Oryzias latipes: one gene and its partners. The protein of the gene in region 1 purifies or fractionates together with the protein of each later gene. This does not show direct contact. Links are inferred from orthologs where the notes say so. Each region holds a gene or a part of one and is shown in the gene's direction. Other genes may lie near its edges.

Region 1 (8,120 bases):
TCTCTTTCCAGTATCGCCTAGAGACATTTACTGAATCGCGATCTACAGAATGGAGCAATGAACCATACTCTGGTATGCATCTGTAACTGCCTGCATTTATTGCTCATAATCACATTTACAATGTTAGTTTTTGAAATTTTGAAATGGGAAGTTTCAGAGTAAAGAAATGGTTGTGTGCAAAAATCAGTCATAATTGAAACCGGAATTATTTATCTTGCACATCACAAGGAAACTATAAAAAACATTTAGCAATCATAAAAAAATATACTCATTCATAAAAAACACATTATGTATATTTTATGGTGAAAACCCAAAAAATGATTTCATTTAAACCAGCTTGTCTGGGAAACACATATTGTTATAGACTACAGGTCTCAAACTCCCGGCCTCCAGGGGGGTATTCCAGAAAGCACATTTAAACTACCCTGACTTTAACCCTGAAATCTTACCCTTACTCTGGGTATGTCGGTTTCAAAAGGCCGGATATGAGTTATCGTAATCACGCTCGACTTGGTAACCCTCGGTTAATGCGTGTGCATGTCAAGTACATAAAGACATTCTCAATGGATCGCCGATTTCCGGAGTCACCATGGAAACGTGTGGAGAGAAAAAAAGAGAGCCCTATACTTCAGTGAGACGGACTCCTAGATTTTAATGACGGCGTATGAAGATTATACACCCATCAAAAAAATGACACGGCTGCATCATCAGCAAAAGAAAGAGAGAAAAAGAACAGACAAATTAAACGCACGAGTTTCTGATCTTATTTCTGTTTTCGATGTGACGCATATATATATATATATATATATATATATATATATATATATATATATATATATATATACACACACACAAATAACTTATCCAGTTTTGCCCACTTGAATGAAATACTTCTATTGGTAACAAGTAATTGAGTTAAATTTATTTAACCTAACTTTTTACGTCTATCCAATTCAATATTTATTTTTACAACTTAAATTTAGATATTTATCTAAATGTCATATTACTCCAATTAAATCTTTTTCCATCTTAATTTATCGTACTTCTTGAACTCTCATGTGTTTACATGTGTCTATGTTTTAGCCTGTAGATATTCTCATTTTTATAACAATAAAATGAAAGAAACAATATGGAATTGTAGCATGCAATCATCTACCATTACTCCGTCTTTAACATTAAAATGATAGAATGTAGGGGTGTTAAATAAACTCATCATCCTCTCCCTCCCTCTCACTCATGGTGCAGAAAGAATTAAACATCGTAGGACAAAATAACTAGACAATACACAGTAAGACGGCTAAACAACTACCGGTAAAAACATTTGGTCAAAAACCCACACTTAAACCCAAATCCATCTAGACAGGCAAAGGGAATGGTATCCCACAATCCCTTGCAGTGCCGATCTAACAGCAGCATGAGCATGATTCAGTCTGGTGCAAACTTTTTTTATTTAATGTTATATTTTCAATAATATTGAATTTATATAATTCAAAATGAGCAAACAAAGAAAAATCTAAATCAAACTAACATTTGGTGTTTCTACTTTTTGTCTTCAAAGTAGCATCAATTCTTATTGGTACATTTGCACAAAGTTTAGGACAACAATGTTTTCTCTAGTAGTTTACTAGTACTGGGTCAATCCTTATGGCAGCCTAACAAGGTGTTTTATTTGGACCAGGCCAAACAGTGGATGCCTATGCACAGCCACCTCCGGGGCCTTGGGATATTCCTGCAAACTTACCCAGTTTATTTGTGGAAGGGAGGCAGTGCATCAAAGTTCCATACACGTCATCTGTGAAGGTAAGCCATAAGAAAATATTATAACATAGTTGCATCTTTGCATCTTACATTAGTAGGTTTTTTGTATTTTATTTTTATTTTTTTAAACAAAAACTGATCATCAGAACTGCCACAGCTGCGTGGGAATGGGGAGAAAACCTTGCAAAGACTGTGTTGGAGCTGGTAACGTAAGTATTTTCCAGAGGATGAAAAGGTTCCGCTCTGCTTCAATCAAGAAGCAAATGAATGGAATTGTTCTTTCTGTCAGAAACTCTGTTGGGTGTGCAATGGATCTGGATTCCGCATTGGAGATGACAGATGTTACCACTGCAATGGCAGAGGCAGAGAGACGTACGCAGTCAACACCTTTAGATTTATAACAAAGCGAAAATGGAAACCAGTTTAAAATACAACAGTGTGCACAATTTTGAACTTGCTAAGTTTCCAAATGTTTTTCCTTACAGTTGCAATGACTGTAATGGGCAAGGATCCAGGATGTGTGAGATTTGCAATGGAAAACAGCAGCTTCTTGTCTTCATCAACCTCACTGTGAAATGGTTGGAACAGCTGTGAAGCAGCAATCTATACTGTATATTTAGAAGAGAAATCTTTATAATAATCTTATTCGGTTAACATTTATTTTCCTTCTATTATTGATTATGTTTTTGTATTTCCTTGCAGGACTAACAACACTGATGATTATGTTGTGGAACAGCGCAGTGGACTTCAGATGGAAAATCTTCGTGAAGTGTCTGGCAAGGAGCTTTTCAAAGACTCCCAACCCATGGTAACAGTGCTTTTAAACTGTCTTTTTAGAATACAATCTGGTCATAAATGGTGTTTTTTATGCAAGTAAACAATCATTACATTTTTAAAATAATCTTTTACTTGAGTTGGAAGTTTTGTTTTGTTTTTATCAGTTCTGTATTTTTTTGCTTAAGTAAATGTACATTTTAAGAAGTGACCGTTGCTTATGTTATGCTTGTGACTGACTGTTTCAGGTGTACCCTGTGATGGGCTTTCCAGATCCCACTGTGGTACAGGCTTCCCAGCGTCTTGTCAGTGAACACCAGGGAAAATATTTTAAGACATCTCGCGTTTTGCGGCAGGTGTTTATTTATTTATTTTGGTATAATTGGATTCATTCAAAATCTCCTCAATTAAATCCATTCAAAATAACCTTATTTTCTTTTCAGCGCCAAACCATCGAGCTGATCCCTGTCACAAAAGTCACCTACACATGGAAAGGGGAATCCCACATTTATTTTGTTTATGGAAATGAGTTCAAAGTCAGTGCGGATAATTATCCTGCTACCTGTTGTTGCTCTGTAATGTAATTGTGGGAGCAGATGATGAGCTCTGTTTTAGCAATCAAAGCCACAGGATGTGTGGGTCAGTAAAACTGACTGAAATCACTTACCCATATATAAGTTGGAAATTACGGTGGAAATCAAAGCATAAAGGGAAAATATGGGACAAATGGAGGAAAAAAATGAGACTTTTATCAATTTAACCTTTTGACTAAATCAATCTCCAATTATGATTTTAATAATTATTATATTTCAATAATTATTATATTTGAATAATTACACATTAAATGCATTTGTATTTTATGTTGACTATATTTTTCATAAAAAATGCTAATAAACGAGTTTTATTTTTTCGAATGATGTCATTAACAATGGACGGTCGCAGTTGAATGACGTCAAGAACGTGTTCGCCATAATGATAATAAACCGTGAACAGAAAGCTGTAAAATAAGCGAATTAAGGGACGCCGGTAAAATTGTAATCAATGTATTATAATTCTTCAAACAGCAGCTAAATTGGGACTTATTTTGGTAGGTCGATTTTTTGTTTATATCGAGGATATCAAGCAGGAACTTGGAGGAGCAAGGTAAAGTTAGCGCTCTGGCTAACCACTAGGTAGGTTCATCTGTGATGCTTTTACTTGTACTAAGCCCACTTGTGTTTTGAAATACGAGTTCTTTTATTAATGTAAATGACATTAAAACATCTGACCATGATGTTTTTCAATTCCCGAAATTTGTGAGCAATTGTACGTTACAAATGTAGAGTTTTAAGAGACAATTGTGTCTAGCTAGCGCTTTAGGCTAGCTCAGCTGCCGTGTGAAGCAACTGTATTTGCTAAGCAAACAACAAAGCAAACAACAACGCATGAAGCACGGCACTTTCGTGTTGCTCAGGACAGCTAAAGAAACAAAGTAATGTCTTTAAAAACGTTTAAATGAATAACTTATACTTCAATTCTGACTAAATGACAATTCTAAAAAGATTAATAAGCAATTAACTTCGGGTCAACTTTGACAGTTGCATTCCCGTGAGGAACTCACACGTGCAGACAGTCGGTTATGAAGCAGTGAAGCGGAAATGTTTGTTTCCCCCAAGTCTTTGTGTCTGGCGCTTTTTTTGTGATACAAAATCAAATATTAACTGGATTTTTGATAAAACATTTGGAGGAGATAATTAAAAAACACGACTTGCATTATTATGGCGATTAACAGTCAACACTAGCTGTCGAAATAAAATATCAAAACGATTCGCTATTTAAATAAAACAACGACGGGTGGAAGCAGTAAAAAGATGACCAGAAAAAGCAACCCTTTTTTCGACTTGCTTACTAGGTTTAATTCTTGCCGAAAACAGTAAGTGCTGAACAAATCGCTACAAAAAATCATTAGAGTGAGTTTAAAAAAAGCTACCAGTAGAGAATTAAAAAAGGACGAATTTTCTTGTAATTATTAACCCTTGTGTTATCCTAAGGACTTTACCATTGGGAGTGGGGTCATCTAGACCCACTAGACAGTGCTCTGACTGAACCTTTTTTCTTCAATGACTTGTGATCTTCACTGGTGTCCACGGATTACATGAAATCTTTCCACCTCTATCCACCTTTGTCATGGTAGGGAGAACACGTCAAAGTAAGGGTGGGGTCATCTAAGATAGCACAAGGGTTAACCATGCCTTCAACAAGAAATATTACAAAAAGTACTACATGGGTTAATAAAAAAACCAGGTAGTTGAGGTCATATAGGGACGTGTCTGGTTGTTTATTTACCAGCAGGCAAAAAAGTTACATGAGTTTATCGGTTCCTGTTTTCTGCGTGATTCGTTTACACCAAAACAAGTCTTCAGTGCACCCGACCTTAGTGGATTATGTGACCCCCCCCCCCCCTTTTTTTTTAAAGCTCCAAAATTGACACTTTGAGCCCAATAGTTAGCTAAAGATTTGCCCTCATTTTCACTGGTAAACTTTAACACGAATGAAAATACCGTAGTTTTTGGTGTTTTTAACATTATGTGGCATTTTTTTCATTAAGAAACAAATAAGCTTAAAAATGTGTTTCCGAGTATGAAACTAAAACTGTCCTAAAAAGTGACTCAGGTTTTTTGTATTTTTGTGTGTGTTAAGTAAAACATGGCATCATCATAATTAAAAGACCACTAGGAATGTCTCTAAAATGGAATGAAAGATGATCGGAGAGGGTCTTTGAGTCTTTAACCGTTTTGTTCTGAGTATTTCCAGTTGCACCTGTGAAAAGTCACCATACTTCCTCAGAGGCAGTTCCTCACACAAAGTTTATAAGTGTTGAATGGAATTTCAGCCTACTGTTTTAATGTTCATCTCGTTGGATGTTTAATTGACTTTATTCAGCCTGTTAAGATAAATAGTTATATTTGTCACCAGTTCTTGGAGGGCGCAAAAAAATCTGTTATCAGTGCAATACTTGTCTGATTTCATGCTCCTACCCGTTTGTTAATTTAAATAAAGGGGTGCACTTTTTGTTCTTCAGGCCCTTCTAGGCATCACAATGGCGTCAGCACCCGCCAGTGTGGACTCAAAAGCGGAGCTGACTGCTCTGCTGGAGCAGTGGGAAAGGGAACAGCACGGCAGCACACAAGACCTGGTTAACCTTCTTACAAAGTAAGTGCGTCTCTGATTTTTTGTGTTTTATGATGTTAAAGGTGATGTTAAATCTCTTGATGTGCGGTAACTTTCAGAATATCTGAGCTTGTTGAAAAGGAGACAGAGGAGTACCACAAAGCAGACCCCGACCCGTTTGATGATCGGCATCCTGGTATGGAGAAGAGAAAAATACAAACAATTGCTCAAATACAAGTTTAAAGTTTCTTCTATGTTTTTGTATTTTTCCCTTTTGACCACCAGGGAGAGCTGATCCTGAATGTATGTTAGGGCATCTACTGAAGATCCTGTTCAAGAATGATGACTTCATGAACACTGTAAGAATGGATGAGCAAATGTATTCTTTTTTTCTTGTAAAAGTTAAAGCATATTCTATAGTCTACTCAGAAGATCATTTTAAAACGTCTGTATTTTAGTTGGTGAACAACTATGTGATGACGAGCAGGGAATTCCCCCTCAATGCAGCAGCTTGCCGTCTGCTGCAGAACATCATGCCTGGATTAGAGACAGCTGTGGTTTTTCAAGAAAAGGTTTGTTGTCTCTGACTTCATTGCCAATGTGTTTCTTTTTTTTTTTTTTAAACTTACTTCAAAATGACTTTCAGTACTGAGGACACCTGCACAGGATAAAAGATTTTACTCAGTATTTTACTGAATTGCTAACACTCGAGCTGTGTCCGAATTCCTTCACTACTCTCTACTTAGTGGACTATATAGTGCGTTTGCTTTTTTCTAGAGCTGTCCGAATCTAAAATTTCAAAATCCATTGCCCTATAAATTTCCCAGAAGTCTGTGAAAATCTAGTGTGCATCAACGGTCACAAGATTGGCAAATATACACCACAATGTATTGCGTTTGAACAATTTTTTCTTTTTAAAAAAGCTATCCAAGTTTTTCAGAACACAGAAGATTAATGAATAGTCTTTGTTAAGTAATAATAATAACAATGGATTGGAATTATTTTCGTGCCCATTATTCATTCACTCCTCATTTATACTTGGTGATGGTAATCTACCGATGTAGCCACAGCTGCCCTGGGGCAGACTGACAATGTTCGGACTTATCAGGTTTTTTTGGGAAAGCAGTGCTGTAATTGGCAATAAAAAAAAAAGAAGTGAGAATGGTGTCTGTCTGCATTGGTTTTAAAATCCAGGATACTAAATAGTCCTGCACTATATAGTTTTAGTAGTGAGGGGCGTAGTCAAGAAAATTTGGACATAGCCTTGGAGTTGGTGCAGGAACATTGTTTAGCATTAATGCACACTGCTTATGTGTTTGAATAATGTATATGAGTTGCCTCATATTTGCTTTTATGCATTCCAACATTATTCTAATTTACAGATACTGAAAAGCAGGTTAATGCTTTAATTATTCTGTGAAGTGATGGAATAGTAAATTTTCACACACTTTGATGTATTGTTAAAATTATACTACTTAGACTATAACTATTATACTTGTGAATCTTGTACTTAGTAAAATATCATTAGCTAAAGCAAGTATAGTAGCTTTTGTTTTTTCATTAGTTTTTTTTTTTGCCTATGTAGGTAATTTCAAAATTAATAGCAAGAAAGATTAAATCTTCAATTATTGCTTCTTGTCTTTCCTGCAACACCATGTTTTGATGTAAAAGTAAATCTATGTTACTGTGACATTTCTTTCCTATTTAAAGGGTTGCTTTTTTATCAAATGTTTTTATTTGGTCAAGCATCAAATTAATTAACACATCCCCCCGTTAAATTAGGCTTTATAATCTCGTAATTGAAGTGTTCTGCTTTTACAAATTTGTCTTGTCAGGAGGGAATAGTGGAACGGCTGTTTAAGTGGGCTCAAGAGGCCGAGCAGCCTCTCAGAATTTATGCCACAGGATTGTTGGCAGGTGCCATGGAGAACCAGGACATTGCTGCCAACTACAGAGAGGAGAACTCTGTTTTGGTCAGTAAAGACTTTTTATATCTTGTATTAATTCCTAAAAAAGTGTAAAATGTCACATATATGAGTGTATATTCCTAATATTTTTTTTGTTTTCTTAAATTCTTTTTATCGGAAAGGTTCCTTTGATGCTGCATCGTTTGCGTGAGCTTCAAGATAAAGATGCCGAGAACAAGAGGGAAATCAAGCGAATTAGCCCAAGGAAGAGTCTAAGTGCACCTTTGTTACCTTTAGACGAGGAAACTGTTGACCGAAGCTTTGAAGAGAAGCCCTTCACACCAAGTAGAAATGGAGCTGACAAGCAGGGGATGGGACCAGAGGAAGATCGGGAAATTTCTTTTTCGCCCAACGAGCCTGAGAACGAGCTTTCATTCCATCTCAACTCTCCTCACAAGACGAGCAGCCGCGTCAACTCAGCCGTTAAAACCATGATGAAGCCCATGTCCGCCTCAGGTTTATCGACGCACC
Region 2 (6,596 bases), on another chromosome or scaffold:
GGTTACATTATTTTTATCCAGGATTATAAAAACGCCATTTCTGTTCTTACTGGGACAGGAAATGTGATGGTTACACACTAAAAATGTTCTGAAATGTTTCAGGGGGGCTCCAAAGCCACCATGGCGGAGCCGCAGGTCCACGTCACCCCGCTGTACGAGGAAAACATGAACAAGCGCCCGGTCCTGACCTCTCAGCCCAACGGCCTGGCTCCACTCAGCTCCACCCGGCCAGGCCTCCCTCTGCCAGAGCGACAGTCCTCTGAGGCGGCCCAGCACGGACGCCAGAGCAGCGCCACCTCCAACAAGCCCGCCGACAGCAAGCCAAAGACGAACCCTCTGACGGCCGAGCAGGCCATGAAGCAGTTCATGTCCAAGATGTCCTCGTTCGAACACCACGAAGTGTTCAGCTTCTCCGAGGGTGAGCCGCTCTCCGTGGGCGGAGATGACGAACCGACTGGAAACACAAAATAACATTTTTGTTTCTTCTTTGAAAACCTTTTAGTGTATTTCATTGGTCCAAGCGCAAAGAAGAGGTCAGGGGTTCTCGGCGGTCCCAACAACGGCGGTTATGATGATGATCAGGGGTCTTACATCCAGGTCCCACACGACCACATCGCCTACCGCTACGAAGTCCTGAAAGTCATCGGCAAAGGGAGCTTCGGACAGGTACGACTCCGGCTGAACTTTCAGGGTTTTTGTGGTCAAAGTGTAGTCATTTCAGGTCATACCTGCCTTTTTTTTTCTTTTTCCTTCTGAGCTTCTTTTTGTAAAATATTCTTTTAATTTGCAAAGTTTGTCTGAATGTTCAGAAATGTGTTTGTCTGTGGTGGTGTTGGGTGAAACCAGTGCATCCTCTGAAGACCAGAGGTCACGAGCCCTGTGCTTCTCCTGCAGGTGGTGAAGGCCTTCGACCACAAAACTCAGACCCACGTGGCCCTGAAGATGGTCCGCAACGAGAAGCGCTTCCACCGGCAGGCGGCGGAGGAGATCCGCATCCTGGAGCACCTGAAGAAGCAGGACAAGGACTCCAGCATGAACGTCATCCACATGCTGGAGAACTTCACCTTCCGCAACCACATCTGCATGACCTTCGAGCTGCTCAGCATGAACCTGTACGAGCTCATCAAGAAGAACAAGTTCCAGGGCTTCAGCCTCCCGCTGGTCAGGAAGTTCGCCCACTCCATCCTGCAGTGTCTGGACGCGCTGCACAAGAACCGGATCATCCACTGCGACCTCAAACCTGAGAACATTTTACTCAAGCAGCAAGGCCGGAGCGGCATCAAGGTGGGACGGCGGGCTTGCGCAGTAGAGGACCACTTCTGGTTTGTGGATCGCTAACGGATGAACGTCTTTGTCTCCTGCAGGTCATTGACTTTGGTTCCAGCTGCTTTGAACATCAGAGGGTTTACACCTACATCCAGTCCAGGTTTTACCGAGCACCAGAGGTCATTCTAGGTAAGAAGATCCACCTGTTTTGGTGAATGAGTCCAACCACAGAAACTTGTAGGAAACTTGTTCTCTGGTTTGGCCTTAAAGGTGCTTCAATCTTCTACTAGTCCGTTTCCTTTTAATGTGCAATTTCAAATTAAAGTCGATCAGCGTTTATCGCAGGAGTTACGTTCTAAAAATAACTCGCGATAGACAAAATCTGTTATTTTTTAAAATAATTTCTAGAGGATTTAAGGCTGTAAACTACACACTTTATCCACTTTTCTTAGACAGATGTGAACATTTTCACAGTTTTCTCTCTTAAACTCTCAAAGTTCAAACTTTTGTAGAAAATAAGTTTAGAATGAAAACATAGATCTGATCGTGACTGAAGATGCAAATGTGTCCTCTGTGGAGGACATTTCCAAAGCGGAATATCTCCCAAATGCTGCAGACTAATGATTGACGTCCTATTTGTGTCTACAGAGGACAGTTGGGGCTTTTCAATGAGTCCATGTGGAGGACTGGGGTTCTGGGAATTGTAGTTTTTGGTGGTGACCGGACCAAATTTGAGAGGCAAAAGCAACATATTAACTTTTATGTCACATTTGCACTCAAATCTTCATAAAGCTGCAGGAAAACCAAGTGCTACTTCCGTTCTTCTGTGCATCTTTTACTTGAAAACATCCAGCACCAAGTTTTCCTTGGAGACTGAAGTGTGTTATTCTGAGCGTGTGCAGCATGGTTGTAGTGGACATGCGGGTCACTTTGATTCCCTTCCTTAGGGTTCCGGTCCGGTCACTAGAGTCTGGTACACGACGTGTTCAGACGTAAACTGTGACATCCTAAAAAATGATGGGATGTGAACAGTGAACGTAGCTTTAGTTGCAAAATAATTGAACCGTTGTGATGAAACGGTTCCACGTGGCTGGGAGTCCAGACCTTTGGTTTTCTGGTTTTCCTCATCTTCATCATGATGGAATTAAGCTCCAATGCATTATTGCATTATTCATAAAAATAAACCATGCTTTTTGGACTATGCGTCGCACCAGCAAAACAAAAAGAAAAAAAAATCATGTCAAAGTCGCACTTTTGGGAGAAAAGTAAACTTGTGAACAAATCCACCAAGCCGGACGTAAAGAAGTCTAGGACCTGAAAATGAGTGGAGGCTGACTCTGGTTTGTCCTTTTCTCTGAAGGTTCCAGGTATGGGATGCCCATCGACATGTGGTCGCTGGGCTGCATCCTCGCCGAGCTCCTGACTGGTTACCCGCTGTTACCAGGGGAAGACGAAGCCGACCAGCTCGCCTGCATCATAGAACTCCTAGGCATGCCAAGTCAGAAGATCTTGGATGCCTCCAAGCGGGCCAAGAACTTTGTGTCCTCCAAGGGATACCCGCGGTACTGCACCGTCACCACGCTGAGCGACGGCACCACGGTGCTGAACGGAGGACGCTCGCGGCGAGGGAAGGTACGCGGTCCCCCCGGCAGCAAGGTGTGGAGTACGGCGCTGAAGGGCTGCGACGACCCGCTCTTCCTGGACTTCCTCAAACAGTGTTTAGAGTGGGACCCAGCGCACCGGATGACGCCGAGCCAGGCTCTGCGCCATTCGTGGCTCAGGAGGCGACTCCCCAAGCCACCAACAGGAACCACTCCGGGAGACAAGACCTCTTCGTCCAAACGTGCCACCACTGACGGCACCATCACCTCCAATTCTAAGCTCGTAACCTCCTCAACAACCTCCTCCTCCTCCAAAACCAGGACTAACTTAGCTGCAATCACTGACGCCAATGGCAACATCCAGCCTAGGACGGTGCTGCCCAAACTTGTCAGCTGAGAGTGAATGCACCCCGCTCGCTGTGGCGGGAGACGAGAGCTGAGCTCGCAGCAGCCGGTGGGACCTGAATAAAACCGGTCTCTCCGGTTTTAAAGATCGTACGGTCTCGTTCAGCGTTGCTGGGGTGCGTTCAAAACAACTACAGCCAATAGAAACTCCGTGCTTGAGTGTGAACACGTGCTGGGATGGAAGTCTTTTTTTCTTCTTTTTGTGAACTGGGGTACGTTCAGAAGCTCCAACCTCCGTTTGAGACGAGTTGTTTTTAACAATTTGAGCAATTTGAGGTGGGTTCTGCTCAGACAATCTGAACACGCCACCTTCTGCAGCAGCAGACTCACAAACACAACAACAACAACAACATGGTGCTGATGGAGGGAACAAGGCTTTGAAAACATTTTCTGTGCAAATAATGTTCTTAGCTGGATTTATTATTGAGTTTAACACCAAAAAATTCTCTGTCTTAAGAGACTAAACCTGCAGTCCGACCTCTCAGAGAGCAGTTTTCTTCTCATTGACTGATATTTCCTTTTTAAAGCTAAAGAAAAAGATAAAAAAACATTTCAGTTTGCTTTTTTAGTTCATTATCAAACTCGCACATAAATATTTTTACAGAAATGACTCGTAGATCTTACAGCTCTGACTCAGCAGTCTACCTGTCAGGTAGCTAACATTTTGGTGCCTGTCAACTCCTACCTGGCACTTGTTCCTCATAGGACAGCCAGTTGTTTGAGGTTAGCTGTCGTTCTGCTACCTATCCTTCAAACTAACTCACTAAAGTCAGCTTAGCAAACTGAGCAAAGCGCGTGTGCAAGTCGTAGCTGCCTCACGGTTTGCCTTCTTTAGCAGGACTGTGTTTAGCCGGATAGCATGTCAGCTCGCCACTGCCCAGCCTTATGACGCACAAACACAAGGATTGTTCTTCTGTGCGTTCGGCAACGCAGAGAAGACCTTTGAGCTTTAGCAGCTAGCATAGCACGTTTGTTTTTAAATCTGAAAAAATGTGAACGATTGAAGATCCAGACGGTCTGAGGAAAAACCGATGCTTTGGTGTAGAAAAAAAACTGCTAAAATTCTAAGACTTTTACTGAAACCAAATGATTTACTGTTAATGAAGGAAATATGCAGAATCACAAATGTTAACCACTTTAAATGTAGCTAAAATAAGACATCAAAGGTCTGGAAAAATGAAGCTTTATGCAGAAAAAGGGTAGAAAAATGAGTTGACTACTGCATTTTACTAAATCTTACATTCAACTTTTAAAATAGTTACCTTATTATTGGGCAATAATCTGATTAAAGCTCAGCTTCAGATTCTAACACCAGTTGGAAACAAATACATAAAAACAGTAAATTGTTGTTTGTGGTAAAAAAAAAAAGCAAAAAGAAACTAATATTTTTTCATAATCAACATTTTCCTGATGATTTAAGTAAAATCACTTTTTTACCAAAAATAATTCAGACCCCGTCTTTTTTTCCCATTTAATAAATCATTACTTACAAAAACAAATGTGCCAAAACAATGAAAATGATAAGGCTGTCAAAAAATGTAAAATTATTGAAATCATGGTTAAAATGAAAACTTTAATGACAATTTTAATACATGTTACTTTTACAGCTTTTTGTTAAATTAAATAATTTTATCCTCTGTAAAAAATAGGAAGACAATTGAACGTTACAGACTAGATCACTTCAATGTAAATGTGTCCTTGATAAGATCAAAAGAAGACACTTGTACAGGATTTAAGGCCATATTCATTCTTTACTGCGGCATGTTTATTATGTTTAACTGTTTTCGTAAATGTGAGGCGGATCCGCTTCATATTTACATGGATGGAAGCGGAGCCGCCTCACATTATTATTTCAGAAATAGATAAACTGAAGGAAAGGCTCATTTGAGGAGAAACGCTGGGTTTTCAGTGGTTGATTAGATCATCATATCCAAAAAAATCTTTGTATTTATATCAAACGTATCCAGTTTCAGCTTTTTTACTCTGTTATATCCTGTTTCAGGATTTTTAAGTATTTCTGTACAACTACCTTCAGTCAGACCTTTTTAAAAGTGTTTTCTGTTTTGAACCTAACTTTGTCTTTAGACGGTGAATGTTTTCTGCCTTGAACAGAGTAATCGGGTGGAGATCGTCCTCCGCCTGGAAAACAACCTGAGGTCAAATCAGTTGGCTGACCGTCCAGGTTCAGCTTTGGTTTAGGTGAGCGGGGAGGAAGAGTTTTATATTTAACTGCCACATTTTATTATTTATAAATCCAATTGTTGTGTGGAGATGTGCCGTGTGTGTGTGTGTGCACTATGGGATGGTTTTTCTAACCTTGTTCCCGTAAAAGCACACGTGGAAACGCACACACTTGTCTGAACGCACTCCGAAGGTCGAGGAGGAGGAAGAGGAGGAGGTTCCCAGGGTCGGCCTGGCGATGTAATGTAGCACACGGGAAGTGAGAGACAGTTACATTATGCACAGGAGGAACGAACGATGTCAAACATGCAGACACTACTTGCTCCGCCCATCTCAGGGGAAGCTCTGCCCATTCCCGATGAAGGAGGAGGAGCAAGAGGAAGAGAGGAGGAGTCTCTCTGATCTGTTTGGGTTTTTTAATGATTTGTTAGGATGTTTGTTTGTGTGTTTTGTGTTTCTTTAAAGACAGTTGTGAGACGAAGAGCTGAGAGTTGTAACTTTGTGCCTTCAGTATCTCAGCGCCATGCCACGCCCACCCAACACACCCGCCCCCACAGACGCAACAGTTGCTAATGAAGTTGGTGACAGCTCGGCGGCATTTGGCACAGCTTTGACACGAGTCCTCGTGAGACTTCGACTGAGTCAGAAAACGTCTGGAGACGATTCAAAGCCGTCGTCACGTTTGGTTCCTGTTTTACGCTGGTTTGAGCCCCAATCAAAGACGGACATAAATCCACTCCACTGATTGGAACTGCCATTTCTAAAAAACGATTTTTATCGTTGAGCGATTTGATTGTCAGGGTTTTAATGCCTGCCTCTTCCCTGGAGTTGAACAACAAAAACCATTAAAAGAAGACAGTAGCTGTGTCCTGATTCGCTCTGTAAATTTCCCATGAGTCTCTGTGAAAAGCTAGGAAGTGTCAATGCTCAATAGATTGGCGGATTTGGACCACAATGCACTGCGTTTGAAAAAAAAATGCACTAAAATGTCGTTTCTTTATAGTTTTCATCTTCACTTTCACACATATTTGATGCAAAAACAAAGTAGTGGGAATAACGTTGCAGTGGATACGCCTGAAGTGTCGTCTTTTGGAATTGGGACACAGCTATTGACTTGAACCTTGAAGTCTTGTTTAGTACAGA
Region 3 (6,642 bases), on another chromosome or scaffold:
CCCCAGGTGTGAACGTGGTTGTGTAGCTCTGTGAAGAACGTGTCCAGGGGGCTCAGCCTTCACACATCAGGAGGTGGGATAGGCTCCAGCAACCCCGTAGCCCCAAAAGCAGCTTTAAAAAAAACGGATGGACCGCTAATACCAGTGTTGTGAGATTATCGTGCATATTTCTTTTACCGTCATTTAAATTTAACTTTATTGAGCGTGACACACTGTACATTCTAATGAATATTTCAAATATCTTTAAGCTCTGTGGTCTCTATATTACAATCTCCTTAAATCAATAAACAAAAATGGAAACTCCAGAAGTTTAAGGAATGTCAAAGATATACATTAATAGAACATAAATTAATGTAAACAGTTATGTGTTTGGCTTTAAAAAAGACTTCTTAAAATTAAAAATAAAGCTGTTAGGTCTGTTTTTTTCTGACCTTTACATGAATTAAATTCTTTCAGCTTCACCTCATGATTCAAAATGTTTATTTTTTTTAAAGTTTTTTAGTAAATCATTGCTCTCAACAGAGCCGATGTAAAGATAAACCTAATGTTTTTCTTGTGGGATCTTTGGTCTAAAGTTGTGATTCCAGGTTTTTAATGGGCTGGAAAATCATTTTTTGACGTTTTCAGTGTCTGAGTGACTCATGACAGGCTGTGTTTAATATAAAGTTCAGTTTATTCTTTTTTTATAGAAATATTCAGTCCTTATAAATAAATTCCACCTGGTTCTTTGTGTTTTGACAGGAAACTGTTTGCAGCAAAGCCGGCATTTTAAAAATTCCAGAGGTTTCTCGGTTAAACTCTGGTTCTTGTGAAAACAGTTCAGTCTCAGCTTCTTCTTCAAAGCGTTCCCAGTGGTCTGTTATTTGTGATCATGTCGTTCTTTTGCTAAAATAAAAAAGAAAAGCTGTTGTGTTTTCTAGGACATAGTTTCTGCAGAGCAGCAGAGGTTCGTAAGAAATTCACCTCTGAGTTGTGGGTGGGACTGTTCTTCATATAAGTCTTCCATCAACAGAAAAATGCCACTAGAACATGTTAAAAAAGACTGTTTTCATCAGGGTGGGTCTTCAAACGTGGCACAATGGGGATGGAATCACACATGTAGAGGAACAAACAGCAGTTTGTGTCATTTTCTTTGTACATAGGGTCTTTTAAGCGTCCTTAAATGTAAAATCAGTCGACATCCCGTAACGTTGATCAGAATGATTGAATTGTGGGGTTGTAGGTATCGACAGATTCTGGAGAAAGCCCTTCAGCTCATAGATGCGGATCAGCTGGAGTCCTTGAAGGCCTTCGTGGAAGCAAGTATGCATCTTTAGTTTTTTCACCGCCCCCTGTTGGTTCTGCATGAAGCTGCGATCCTCCTGACTCCATGACGGTCTTCTGCTCTTTCAGTGGTCAACGAGAACGTCAGCCTCGTCATCTCCAGACAGCTGCTCACCGACTTCTGCACGCATCTGCCCAACTTGCCCGATGGCACCGCCAAAGCCGTCTATCACTTCACCCTGGAGAAGATTCAGCCCAGGGTCATCTCCTTCGAGGAGCAGGTAAAGGTGTCGAACCCCTCAACCTCAGTGGAAACGTCCTCCTGCTCCAGGGCGCTGAGGCTCTCGTTCTTCCCAGGTGGCCTCCATCAGACAACATTTAGCAACCATTTATGAGAAGGAGGGAGACTGGAGGAACGCGGCGCAGGTTTTAGTCGGGATTCCTCTGGAAACGGGACAGAAGTGAGAACGCGTTTCTGCTCATCTGAACATTATGCCTCCCTCGTCTTACCAATCCCTTCTCCTTTTAGACAGTATAATGTTGACTATAAGTTGGATACGTACCTGAAGATCGCCCGGCTCTACCTGGAAGACGACGACCCGGTTCAGGCCGAGGCTTACATCAACAGAGCTTCGCTCCTGCAGAACGAATCCTCCAACGAGCAGCTGCAGATCCACTACAAGGTACGCGACTTTTTCCCTTCCTGCTGCAGACGTTTGTGCAGACCCGCCGCAGCTCCGCTGTCCTCTGTCGCAGGTGTGCTACGCCAGGGTTCTGGATTTCAGGAGGAAGTTCATCGAAGCAGCTCAGCGGTACAACGAGTTGTCCTACAAGTCCATCGTCCACGAAACCGAGCGTCTGGAGGCTCTGAAGCACGCCCTGAACTGCACCATCCTGGCCTCCGCAGGTAGCAGCTGGCTCCCGGGGAAACGGGCCTCTCCGCGTCCGGTTCCTTTAAACGATGTGCGTCGTTTCAGGACAGCAGCGCTCACGGATGCTGGCCACTCTGTTCAAGGACGAGCGCTGTCAGCAGCTGGCCGCCTACGGCATTCTAGAGAAGATGTACCTGGACCGCATCATCAGGGGTAACCAGCTGCAGGAGTTTGCTGCCATGTTGATGCCTCACCAGAAAGCCACCACCGCTGACGGTAAGAGCAGAAACCAGGAAGGCTCAGGGTGGAAGGGCAGTTTGCAGACGGAAAAACGGCCCTTAGAGCAAGCTTCTCCCATCTTGCTCTCCAGGCTCCAGCATCCTCGACAGAGCTGTGATCGAACACAACCTGCTGTCTGCCAGTAAACTCTACAACAACATTACGTTCGAGGAACTCGGCGCTCTGCTGGAAATTCCACCTGCAAAGGTGAGACGCTTTGGAATGGAACCGTAGACTACGAGCAGGTCGGAGCAGGGAAGGGTACTGGTGTAGACAACACCACTGGGGTTGCACAAAAATGCAAGATGTTTTGTTTTGGATTCTTGTATTCTATTCAGTTTTACTGCACAATTCTAGCCAATTATTTTACATTTCCAGTGAGTGTGGGTGGGGTCCAATAACAATAGGCGGGGATGGGCGGAGCTTCCATGAAAATGTCGAACCAAAAGTTTGTCTGTACTTCCCAACAAACATTCAAGCGCTCTCCTTCACACTGTCATGCTGATTCATCACACTTACATGGGTTTTTTTGTTAAAACGGGTGTTTTTTGTTGTTGTTTTTTTTTTTTTTTTCATTTTTGGATCTCTGGTTCAAGCAATGTTTAGGTTCCAGAACATTTTCTAAAGTACCGGTTCAGCACTGGATGAAATCCAAATATTGGAGCGGGTGGGGGAGTGTGGGAGGTTCGGATGAGGGAGTCAGCGAGAACGAAACCACGAGTCCAAACGTCAGCTCGTCCATCGCCTCGCAGCTTCAGCGGCGTTGCAACTGAAGTCGGTTCTCCGCTGATGTAAAACGCCGCTTTTTTCCCGCCAGGCGGAGAAGATCGCCTCCCAGATGATCACTGAGGGGCGCATGAACGGCTTCATAGACCAGATCGACGGCATCGTTCACTTTGAAAGTGGGTCAAACGTCTTCCCCTCAGTTCTGTTGCTTCTGTTCGACACGTTTGTTCTGATTACAAAAGAAATATTCACTTTAAAATTTTTGTAGAATATTAATGGAACTTTTTCTAAGATCACTCCTGATATATTTCCTGTAAAGTCAAAGAGAAAATCAAAGATCTATTGTTGTAATTTTTGGAAAATACATTTTTTGATGTATTAAAAAAAGGAAAATTCACCGGAACATCTTTTGAAAAGCATGTTCAGAACTATTACATGTCAGTTCTTTGGTGGTGTCATAGCAGGAATGTTCCTGCAGAGGGCAGCACCTCCTCTGTGATTCAGTGTTAGTAAAAGCTCTCCTCCTCTTGCAGCCCGTGAGCCCCTCCCCACGTGGGACAAACAGATCCAATCCTTATGTTTTCAAGTAAACAACCTCCTGGAGAAGATCCGGCAGGCCGCTCCGGAATGGGCCGCGCAGGCTTTGGAAGCCCAGATGACCCAATAAACCCCTCCACGCCCACGTCACCCGGCCCCGCCCCCTTTTAAGTTGCGTCTTCCTGCCTCAGAAATGATGTGGAGAACTCAGCCACGCTGCCATCGTTTGTTCCAAGCGGTTCCTCATTGGTCGAATTTACTTTTCTGATGGACCGGACCTTCAGATGAGACTGTTTTTGTTTTCATGGTGGAGAATTGGAGGATTTTGCATAAAGCTGATATGTGGAAAGATGCTGAGTTGTTTCTGTTTCAGAAGGTTCTTCAACCTAAACAGTCAAACTATCCCAACCCGTAACCGCAAACACGAAAATGTAAGTTTAAATAGATAAGAGACCAAGTAAAACAGTCGAATCCTCAGTCAATTATTCAAGATTTAAAGGTCATTTTTTCTTGAAAGTCTTGGTTCCTCTCAGAGGTTTAAGGGGCGTTTCACATCGAAGCTGCACAACATTTTATTTTCACGTAGTTTTGGCCTGAAATATAAAACAACCTTTTTCTTCAAGTTTCAGCTTTTCCTTGTGACAAAGTAAAGCAATTTATTCAGTAAAAAATCACATCGACACAAAAAACAAAGTTGAAAAGTAATTATTCTGATATTAAAGGGATTTTTTTTTACTTTGAAGCTTAAAAAAGGAAGTTGAGTCAAAATTAAATCTGTGTTCAAGTCATTTTTAGGAAGAAATTAAATTTCCTGTGTTACTATTGACTGTATGTGAGACCTGGAGCGAGTCGGTGTGATGTCATAGTGAATGTCAGTCCTGTTCATGTATACAGTCAATGGAATGATTTCAGGCTGAACAGTAGAAGATGATGCAGGACAAACGCCGCCTGGACAGACCGGTGCTCGTTTTTAAAAGGTGCCCTGCTCCTTCCGATGCTTGATGTCCCTCTTCAGCTGACAGGTGGAGCAGACGGGGCAGAACAGCGACATCAGGCAGTCGTTACACATGGAACCCTGAGAACACAGAACCTTCGATGAAGAAGCTGCTCCTCATCATCACAACTCTGAAAAGTCATCTCTATAGAATAAACACGTTTGGATTCAAGTATTTCACTTTATAGTAGAAATGTCACCGTCACACAGGACTGATTCTCTACACGTTTCGCTTTCTCTTATCGGACATCTAAAGAAAATGTGGAAAAAAGCTGAAAATGAACAAAGTGAAGCTCAACACAAAACCCAAACCAAATAAAAAAATTACAATAAGCTGAAGGCAGATAAATTAGAACAAAAACAAACAAAAAACGCCGTAATAACATTGAAGGAAAGTCAAAGAAAATGATTTGTACCAAATAGGATTGAAAATGTTCATTAAGGCAGAAGAAAAGTTAAAAATCTTAGTATTAAACTAGCTATAAACTAGTAAAGTTATTGTAAATGAACCAAAAAAAACTACCTACATGCTAACATCATAATCAAAATACTCTAACATAACGACCATTGTTTATGGGGGTCAGTGTCTTGTGGTGTTCCCCAAGGTTCTGATCTGGGACCCATTTAACTCATTCTCTATATGCTCCCCCTTGGGAGACTCATCAGGATTTCTTATCTATACGCTGATAACATTCAGGTTTATTGCTCCTTTGATAAAACTAATTACAAAAATCTTTCCTATCTACGAGACTACTTTTACTGCTTTTACTACTCAAAGTGTAGTAAAGTGACGACCATTTCCTTTAATAGCTCCTCTGTCTCTAGATTCTCACTCAAAGCTCCTTGTCAGAATTTGTTTTTATCACCTGAGGAACGTGGCTAAACTGAAGACAATATTTCTTCCAAGTTTGATCTTGAGCTATTTAACCCTTGTGCTATCTTAGATGACCCCCCCCCCCCCCCTTACTTTGACGTGTTCTCCCTACCATGAGAAGCTGGATAAAGGTGGAAAGATTTCATGTAATCCATGGACACCAGTGAAGATCACAAATCATTGAAGAAAAAAGGTTCAGAGCACTGTCTAGTGGGTCTAGATGACCCAGCCCCCAACACCTAGGATAGCACAAGGGTTAACCACACTTTTCTCTCTTCTCCTTTAGACCACTGCAATTCTCTTTTAACCTGTTTTAACTAAAAGTCTCTTAAACATCTCCAATTGGTCCAAAACTCTGCAGCGAGGCTTTTAACTGGAACCAATAATCGCACTCATGCCACGCCTCTGCTTTTATCGCTACACTGGCTTCCTATTCAATTCAGAAAAGATTTTAAGATTTTGATTTTAGTCTTTAGAGCCTTTCACGGACAAACCCCAAACTATATTTCTGACCTTTTGACTCCTTACACTCCTGCGCGTTCCTTGAGGCCAACTGATAGGAATCTTTAATGTGTTCCAAAAACTCGTTTTAAAACTCAAGTTAAGACGTTTCTATTTAAGGAAACTTTTAGCTGACTTTTACTTGTGTTCACTTTTATTTATTTGTTTGTTTACTTCTATGCCTGAGTGCATTTAATTTGGGTTTTACCTGCTTTAGACTCCCGGTGCCATTTTTGTGTTCTGTCTCTGATTTTATGTTGTTCTAACATTGTGAAGCACTTTGTGAGCTGTTCTCTGCGAAAAGTGCTAAATAAATAAATATTTACTTTACTCACTAGTTAGAAGAGGGGTACTACATAGGTCTGATGGTTAAAAATGCACATTTGAGTAAAGAGGAAAGCTAATTTAGCTGAAAAAGGTAAAAAACATCAATTATGCGACTAAAATAATGTTTTTTTCTGCTGATTGTGTCTGAATCTCTTTTTTAAACTCGTTTTTTAGCTAAAAAAGTATAAGAGAAAAAAAATAGAATTAAAACAAAAAAAGTACTAAACCAAATCTTGATTCTGCTGATACAAATATTTGTTCAAATGTAA
Region 4 (8,306 bases), on another chromosome or scaffold:
AGAAATAAATTAAATAGCAATTATTTTACGTCTTCCTAATCGCCTTTGTTTTGCGGATAGAAAACAATTGGAAAACTCGGTAATCACAGGTAGATATGTCAAGGGGTTTATTGTCTCTTTCGATAAGAAAAGTGGCTGGGAAGCTCGGCTGGTAGAAGGCTGCCACGCAGGAATCCGGGGTTCGATTTCCAGAGGGAAATAAACAATGCTACTGGGAGCAATTACCATATCAATGGTGAGAAATTAACATCACCCAGTGGGGGTCCTTCGGCGAGACCCTTAACGCTGCCTCCCGAGCGCGGTTCGGCTGCAGCTCACCGCTCCCCCAGAGGATGGGTCAAATGCGGAGAAGAATTTCCTCATTGTGGAATAAATAAAGTATCAATTATTACTATTATACCACATCTTCCCTATCTGTGCTCTTAACACCATAAATTTGTCACAGGACATTATTCAAGTGATTCCACAACTTTTAATATTTTTTTGAAGATCATTCAATTTATGTTATTAGGTGCTTTACGTCTGCAGAGTGCAGCTTATTATTCTGTATTAAGGCCTTGAACCTCTGACTGTTCCTTACCCCGCTCATTAACATTTTTTGTCACAACGTGATGTGTGGGATTCAGGTCTGCAACGACGAACATTGCGCATTACATCAAGTTTCCTTAATGTTTAGGGGGTGGTTTGGGGCATCTAATTTATCTTGTTCCTTTCAGGAAGCTGTGAAGTTGTTTCGACGTCATGAGATAGCTGCCGTTGGCTCACAAATGTCTTCTAAGTCCACTGTTCTGAATCGAAACCAAAGTATAAGCTATCCCAGTAAGCAGTGCGAGCCATATTTTAACACTATACATTCTTCAATGCAGAAACCAAAATCGGAAATGAACTGAACATGCACAAACGGCATGCACAGTGACACCCTTTGCAGTACTTAATGTTTGTCTTGCATCAATATGAGGCAGGCTTGGAGGTCAGGGATGTTTGCTACGTCATCATGAATGATTGGAAGCTGAATTTTGCTCCAAGTAAATGTGGCAAGAGGTTGGAGAAGATTGTTTTTCCTCCTCCACTTTTTACTATTGATTCTATAGCTGGTGAAGCAGCAAAACCCAAAATCTTTAAACAGGATACTTTTGAACAGAAATTGAGGTATTTCTTTTTTTTTTTTTTTTTTAGTGTTTACACTTGTCTATCTCATTCATAAATAGTCATTGTAATGCACAAATCATAGTTATTGTTTAAATGAAATGTAAGTCACTATGTATTCATTTGAACCTAAACCTGAAACATCTGAGCCATCAAAGGGAAATAATGTGAGAAAGAATACTTTTTTCATTTATAAAATAATTTAGCCTTTGTGAACATACAAGCATTATCACAATAGGTCTGATGGAAAAACAAACAAAAAAAACGTTTCAGACAAAATAAGTGAGTAAACCAAAGTGAAGAAAACATAGAAGCTCGGATACGCTTAAATCAACAACCCACGACAAAAGAAAGAGCTGTCATCACGCTGACATCCAAACGTGTTGATCAAAACAGCCCAAAAAGAAAACAAAATATCCCAACTCAACCATCACCCTTTCTTTAAATGAACTAGATTTTCCAACGAATATATATATTATGTCCAACTTCATCCTCATTGGACAATTGCATCATTAGCATTAGCATGTGAGACCGACGACAGATGATGGACTAAAAAAAACACAAAATAAAATAAAAACTGGGCAATGTCTTTTAAACATTTTACAATATATAAACTGCTGTTTTAAATATTCAAAACTGACATTTAGCGTTTACTTTGCTTCCCATCTCCATACAGGCCACTGCTGTCTGGGGTTTAAAAAAAACACATCGCCAGTTCGGGCAGCGGCCATCAACAAACTCAACGGCTAAATAGATATAAAAAGGTTTTGAAATAATGTCGAAATTACCTGTTATGCAGGGAAATGTCTTTCACAGCAACCGACCAGCGGTATTTTTCGTTACTAATCGAGCTATAAAGACGTCTGAGATATTTTTAACTTGGTGCCCCCACGTTCCGCAACGTAGTTTTGACTTTTCCCTACCTCTCCAGAGTAAAACTGGGATTCCTGGCATGAAGCTAGCTTGGATCATGACTGACGTTGTTTCTGACCAATGGCCTTTCGCACAGTGAGCGACTGGGCGGGGTCTGTGCTGCGGTGTGACGCAAGGCTAAAAGGCGAGAGGCAGAGGCGAGTGTTTAGAGACCTTGAAACCAGGCAGAGAATTCAAATGTCGATGACACTTATTTTACTGAACTATACAGCAATTATGAACATTTATTTAGCAGAAGCTACTAAAGAAGTCACAAAGTCGGATTAGCTTTTAAAGTTTAAATACACTGCTTGATGTAGAGTAAACCAGTTATTACAAAAAAATCAACCCAGATTTAAAATATCATTAGAAAACAAGTAACTTTTGTTTCCATCAGGTAAAAAAGAGGAAAACACTCTTACTTTGACGTAATTTAAAAAAGGCCCCAGGCAGACAATAATTTTGCTCAGCACTGTTTTTTTAAGGCTCTGATAATACTGATAACAATACAAGTTTAGTTATTTTACAACCAACCTTGTCTAAATTAGTACTAAAGTAAATGTACATGTTTAAGTCTCAGGACAAAATTTAGGGGGAAAAAAGGCAGACACCAACATTTAACTCTATAAAAGCCATTTGCAGTAATAATAACCCCTAAGAAACACTCATCAACCCAAAGTGGTTGACACATATCAAACAAAATGATCTGATTAGGATTTGAGTAAAAAAGCCAGGGAAGCAAACTGAAAACAAATTAAAACCAACACGTCAATTTTAATTAAAGGAATTTTAACATTAAATTCAGATTTTTTTTTTTTGACAACAGATTTCTAATTTTATTTTATTTTTCATATCTGAAAAGTTTATTTTATTTTTGTAAATTTTTAAACCAAATTCAAATAATCAGTAGACCTGCCTTTTTGTTGCTTTTATGAAAGCGTTTCTGTAGCATAAAATAAAAATAAATGTCAATACCAGAAATGCTTTTTCATTTTCAAGAGGAAGCTGCATTTTTTGACTCAAAATTAAAATGGAAAAGCATTTCTGGTATTGACTTTACTTTTTAATTATGCTACAGAAAAACCATCATATGCTTTTCTTGATCTGACATCAGCATAACAGTTTGTATTGTCAGAGGAGTAAATACACCTCCCAGCCAGTAGGTGGCAGTGTGTTGTTTTTACTGACACCCCGATACCAGTGTTGAAGACATGTGGGCGCGGTTTTGACGGTGCAACAGCGCCACTTTTAAGCATTTAATAACAACACAAGAGGAGACTACAGAGCGGTTTATACCGTGGAATTTGACAATAACAGAGGGTTCAGTTATGCCCGAAAAGGTAAAGCTCGAATGTTTTCCGGTAGTTATTACTGGATAACGTGTTGAAAACCAGATGAAAACTGATTTTTAAATGTTTTGTCCTCTGCTGCATCCAACAGTTGCTAGGACGAGCTGAGCTTGGCTTGCTAACGCCCGCGTATCTTTTCTATAAACACCAATCAGAACCAAAAGATTTGTTGAGTGCACACTATTAATTTTAAATGCAAGTTTGTTGTATCTTTCTTAATAGCCAATTTCTTGGTTTTACTCACATATAAAGTTTAGTTTGCAGAAACAGAGTTTTTTTTTACTTGCTTTGATTGCTGTTCTGGAAAACGCAGGAAAACTTTTCGTTTTTCCCCCCTTCTGGTTAATCTTTAAGTATTTGTAATTGTTCTTATTTTTTAATTTTATTTTTTATTTGAGCATTTTGATAGTTTAACACAAATTGTCAGTGCAATCAAAAATAATGAGTTTACATTTACTTGCTTTTAATTGAAGTACTGTTAAATACATCACGTGTAATACCTTTGTTTAAAAAGGAAACCTCACTGCGTGCATGCATAGAACAAGAAAATAGTCAATTTGTCTGTTATTCTATTAGAAACATGGTGGCCTAAATGAAGTAAAAGTATTGGGTATTTTGATTGAAGGACTGCCTTATTATCATCCCCAGGTCAGACAATATGGTTCAAGACAACGCACAGATTCGCCAGCAGGGTGCCCAGGACTTTATGGCGTACTATGACTTCGCCTGTGCCAAGCAGGAGACTTTTCCTGTCCCTGCTGTTAAAGTGAACCTTGACAAAGGGATGCTGAACTTTAATGCAGACCGGCTCAAACTATCTGACTGGCCACCCATTCTGCAAGCAATATCTATTAACAAGCACCTTCACCACATCGCTATAAGCAGCACTTACCAAGCTAGTAACACTTCAGGAGATACAGGTAAGCCTGAAAGTAACAGCAGTGGTAATGGTTAAAGAAAAACAGCATGTGTGAGTATATGGTCTAAGTTTGGATAACAATACCAACTGTATGAACCGTCAGTTTTGAAGAGGAGGCAGCATAAATCCACCTTTAAGAGGAAGATTCCAGCCATTCGCTCAAAGGAGATGACATTCAAGCTGTGCAAAGCCTTGGGAGACTGTTTAACTGTTTCCTCCAACCTCAAGACTCTGCAGCTTCATGGACTTCTGCTGAGAGAAAGGGACCTCATCGCTTTGACAAAAGTAAACAGACATATGGTTATTATCAGTATTTTTTTTTTTGCAAAGAGAAAAGGGCTAATATATTACACATTTATTATAGGACAAGGATAAGCTGAAGTCTGATAAACAGAGTTCTAACTGCATGTATATGTCCTGTTCCAGGGTTTGGCAAAAAGTGCTTCTTTGAAAAATCTCTCTTTAGCTAACTGTCCCATCTCAGATGAGGGATTGGAAGGTATGTATTATTATTGTAGTAACATTTATTTATACTTAATGCCTTATTCGTCTATATTTATCTCTGTTTGGATGTAAAACTCTGTTGATTGTATTGTTTGTGCATTATTCTTGCTTTGATTGCTTGAAATAAACCATTTCTAATCCAATATTTTCTAAACTTAAAATAAATTAATCACATGTTAAGTCTTTATTTTTTGTAATATCTGTATGTTCCAGTCATTTGCCAAAGTGTGAAGTACTCTACAACCATCAAGACAATTGATTTCACAGGATGCAGTCTTACATGGAGAGGGGCAGAGCATTTAGCCAACATTATTAAGGTATGATAGATACAATTACATTTTTTTATGTTTTCTAAAAGGCAACACAAAAATCAAATGGAGATTTATTTAATTGTTTGACTCTTTTTTTTCCTTCTTTCTTTTCTTTACCAGCTAAATACTTCATAGACATTTTTCTGAGATAAAATAAACCAAGGGAAACAGGCAATATGCAGGGAGTGTTTTACATGTTGACACATCATCAGTTTTCTGGCTTCCATTTTTTTTAAATGATTTGATTGTACTAATTGATATTGCTTATTAAAGATGATCAAATCATTTTTTAATAATGATGAAAAAATGTATATTAAAAAGATGTTTATAGCGTTTGGTTTTTCAACTATTAGTACATCTACTGTAGTCGTGAAATGAACAAAGTTTCGCATTTCACTTCCAACAAATGAATCGATTTGATTTCAGTTCCCACGCTCACAATTCAAGTTATTTTTTCTTTGATTTAATGTCACTATATTTGAAAAAATATCTATTCCGTAATGAATTTCTAGTTTTTTTTTCAAAACAAAAGGAACAAAGAAAGAGAAATATGTCATACATTTGAAGAATCGATATTGCAATTTCTAAATGAAGATTGATTTCATTGGCTAAACTATTTAAAATTCCAATCAAAGGTTCAGATAGCAGCATTGTCCATTGTTGTTTCAGTATCAGGGAATGCAGAGACATGGTACAGCATGGGCAGAGTCTTTGCGGTATCGCCATCCACAGCTGGAAGGAATGAGCGGTCTTCGGCGAATCACTCTTAACTGTAACACTTTGATTGGCGATAGGGGTGCAGCTGCTCTCGCTCGTGAGCTGGCTGAGGACCTCTGGATTAAAGGTACATAACCATTAATCATATTCCTGTACAAAGACTGGCTGTGGTGTGGGAACTTTACATTTTTTTGTCTGATTGAACAGCTTTGGACTTACAGCGATGCGGCCTATCTAATGAGGGAGCTCGCCGTTTGCTGGAAGCCCTGAAAACAAACTCCTTTCTGTGTGTGCTGGATATCCGCAGTAACCCTTTAGTTGGTAAGACTATTCTGTTCTTTGTTTTCCACATCACCGCTTACATACGCTGTTAGTTTGCATTTAACTACTCATTTATAAAAGCCTCAAGATGTGATCAATTATTTTTATGATTGCATAATTACTCTGTAAAAATTAGGATTTTGGGGATGTTTTAAGGCATCATTTCTCCACAGATAAAGCTTTGATGAAAACGGTGATAGAGAAAGTAGAAATGAATGCAGACGGGCAACCACTGGAGGTTAGTTTCTGGAAGTAATGTATTTTTTAAAATGCATCCATATGTTATTTTATATATAGACTTAAGCCATAGCTTTTAATATTTTATTTTGTTGCAGTACCACTGGATCAAGCCGGCTGCTACAGAATCGCAGAGAGTTTCTTCACTAAGCAAACTTCACTCAGTCAGAGAAAAAACTTTGTTTAAAAAAGGTATAAACATTCCCTCCTTTTGAATCCTCCTGCAGTCTGTCCAGAGCGAAAGAGGGATTGGTTTGAGGCTTCAGAGGAGTCAAAAGGTTAGGGGTGTGGTTACCACAATAGGAGACAACTGCAAAGGAGATAGAACCTCTAACAGGCCCACTTAAGTTTGAGGGAGGAAGTCTCAAACAGCTGTTTGTTTAATTTCATGGACCCATTTTAGTTGACTGTTAAGTCAAACACGAGAGCAGATCCATTTGTCATGATCTGCGTTATATTCTGTTTATGTGGGCGAGTCAAAGTTTCATTTTTAATTACAAAGTGGCGTTTATTTTTGTCAGGTAAATCAAAGGTTTTGCTATTTCCAATTCCTGTGATTGAACAGTTTGTTCTGCAAACGGTTCCTTACATCAACTTGTCTGTGTAATGTCTTTTGTCATCTCCTGAGAACTTAAAGACGAGAAGAGAATATGTTTACTGTATGATCTTTTCTGACTAATGTAGCTAAAAAAATTCATAGAATTCAGATGAACTGCTATGGAATGAAGAAAGTTTTTGCAGAAGTCAAGACAAAATTAGGCTTTAGATTTATTTTAAAAAAATTAAAGACTTTTTAAAGGATTAAATATCAGCTAACTTGAAGTTGTTCTTATCTTTTTATTGCTCACTGGTACAAATATAAAGAAAAACAGGGTTGCTTATTTTTTTAATAGTTTTTTTCTTTAAAAGTTTATTTATAAAGTTGTTTTGTTTTTTTTATAATTGTCAACAATCTGTGTGCCAAAATCTGTCCACCCTCTGAAGGGAACTTCATGTTTTTGTCTATTTAAAGTATCTTATCTCTGTATTTACAGCTACAAAAACTCTTGCTTTCTTTTCTTTCCTGCTCCAGTCACTGCTAAAGGCACATCTCCCGGAGGTCGATGTTCGGGTGAATCTAGGACAAGAATCAAGAATTCCCGCTCCTGCTCTATCCCATGGCGGGCTGCTGCCCGAGCCGGGCGTCAGAGGTGAGATGTCAAACTCTCAAGTGAACCAACCAGAACAATTAAATGAAAGTTTACTTATTTAAAGCACCGTTTGGATGCATTAGTCATGTGAAGGCTTCAAGATGGGTAATGCCTTTTTTTCAGAGGTCTGCCTCCTGGAGTAACAGTAACAGACCACAGTTTTCAGGTATTTTTCTTTTCTTTACATAAAAGGGAACAGAAAAATGTCAAAACATTTTCCAAAACAATGAAATATTAAGCATTCAAGAGGCTGCGAGTCCTGGTGTTTATTATGCTGTTTTAATGTTTCATTAGGCTGCAGCTACTGTAAAAATCACGGTGGAGGCCGATTCAGAAGAAGAGGGCAATGATGATGAACAGGAGGAAGTGGCGGCGGAACCGGATCAGAGAACATCTTTTTATTTCCGGGACAGAAACACTGAACGACAGTTTGAGCGCCTCCAGGTTGGTCCAATCACACTTACATACTGTTGCTCCAAAAATGATTTGATACTCCTGTTATATTAGATGGAAGTAAGAGTAATTATTGTTTGACAGATGAATAAAGGTGGAAAGTGCAGATATTTACAGTGTGAAAATGTTTAGTTCAGATTATACTTTGTAATTTGAATGTGGTAAATTATTTACTATAAACACTGAGCAGGTTTATTTAAAAGCTAAGTAGAGTTTGGGTTTTATTAGAAGTATGTGTAAATATTGA

Evidence for each region.
Region 2: the proteins of dcaf1 (region 1) and dyrk2 purify together in Homo sapiens (affinity purification with western blotting; 5 studies listed by BioGRID and IntAct, with this or other methods). This does not show direct contact. The link is inferred for Oryzias latipes from reciprocal best matches to the Homo sapiens genes DCAF1 and DYRK2.
Region 3: the proteins of dcaf1 (region 1) and cops4 purify together in Homo sapiens (affinity purification with mass spectrometry; 4 studies listed by BioGRID, with this or other methods). This does not show direct contact. The link is inferred for Oryzias latipes from reciprocal best matches to the Homo sapiens genes DCAF1 and COPS4.
Region 4: the proteins of dcaf1 (region 1) and cep78 purify together in Homo sapiens (affinity purification with western blotting; 3 studies listed by BioGRID, with this or other methods). This does not show direct contact. The link is inferred for Oryzias latipes from reciprocal best matches to the Homo sapiens genes DCAF1 and CEP78.

What each region holds. Positions count from the first base shown.
Region 1 is NC_019865.2:16,282,096-16,290,215, reverse strand, and holds the start of dcaf1 (DDB1- and CUL4-associated factor 1), read left to right. Parts: upstream 1-3,468; 5' UTR 3,469-3,704; intron 3,705-5,593; 5' UTR 5,594-5,611; coding exon 5,612-5,724; intron 5,725-5,801; coding exon 5,802-5,878; intron 5,879-5,967; coding exon 5,968-6,041; intron 6,042-6,140; coding exon 6,141-6,254; intron 6,255-7,517; coding exon 7,518-7,655; intron 7,656-7,771; coding exon 7,772-8,120. Other genes in the region: protein SSUH2 homolog, read left to right, coding at 12-72, 1,679-1,800, 1,905-1,967, 2,048-2,130, 2,244-2,336, 2,461-2,566, 2,781-2,888, 2,976-3,116. UniProt on the Homo sapiens protein: Acts both as a substrate recognition component of E3 ubiquitin-protein ligase complexes and as an atypical serine/threonine-protein kinase, playing key roles in various processes such as cell cycle, telomerase regulation and histone modification.
Region 2 is NC_019881.2:22,944,059-22,950,654, forward strand, and holds the end of dyrk2 (dual specificity tyrosine-phosphorylation-regulated kinase 2), read left to right. Parts: intron 1-102; coding exon 103-418; intron 419-502; coding exon 503-666; intron 667-894; coding exon 895-1,284; intron 1,285-1,364; coding exon 1,365-1,455; intron 1,456-2,626; coding exon 2,627-3,264; 3' UTR 3,265-3,361; downstream 3,362-6,596. UniProt on the Homo sapiens protein: Serine/threonine-protein kinase involved in the regulation of the mitotic cell cycle, cell proliferation, apoptosis, organization of the cytoskeleton and neurite outgrowth. Functions in part via its role in ubiquitin-dependent proteasomal protein degradation.
Region 3 is NC_019870.2:2,888,208-2,894,849, forward strand, and holds the end of cops4 (COP9 signalosome complex subunit 4), read left to right. Parts: intron 1-1,222; coding exon 1,223-1,302; intron 1,303-1,392; coding exon 1,393-1,544; intron 1,545-1,620; coding exon 1,621-1,724; intron 1,725-1,792; coding exon 1,793-1,946; intron 1,947-2,019; coding exon 2,020-2,170; intron 2,171-2,240; coding exon 2,241-2,411; intron 2,412-2,505; coding exon 2,506-2,621; intron 2,622-3,231; coding exon 3,232-3,316; intron 3,317-3,673; coding exon 3,674-3,807; 3' UTR 3,808-4,030; downstream 4,031-6,642. Other genes in the region: plac8 (placenta-specific gene 8 protein), read right to left, coding at 4,648-4,752. UniProt on the Homo sapiens protein: Component of the COP9 signalosome complex (CSN), a complex involved in various cellular and developmental processes.
Region 4 is NC_019867.2:7,050,014-7,058,319, forward strand, and holds the start of cep78 (centrosomal protein of 78 kDa), read left to right. Parts: upstream 1-3,268; 5' UTR 3,269-3,398; intron 3,399-4,055; 5' UTR 4,056-4,065; coding exon 4,066-4,327; intron 4,328-4,429; coding exon 4,430-4,611; intron 4,612-4,752; coding exon 4,753-4,825; intron 4,826-5,043; coding exon 5,044-5,147; intron 5,148-5,810; coding exon 5,811-5,985; intron 5,986-6,065; coding exon 6,066-6,179; intron 6,180-6,352; coding exon 6,353-6,417; intron 6,418-6,514; coding exon 6,515-6,608; intron 6,609-7,488; coding exon 7,489-7,606; intron 7,607-7,729; coding exon 7,730-7,772; intron 7,773-7,900; coding exon 7,901-8,050; intron 8,051-8,306. UniProt on the Homo sapiens protein: Centriole wall protein that localizes to mature centrioles and regulates centriole and cilia biogenesis. Involved in centrosome duplication: required for efficient PLK4 centrosomal localization and PLK4-induced overduplication of centrioles.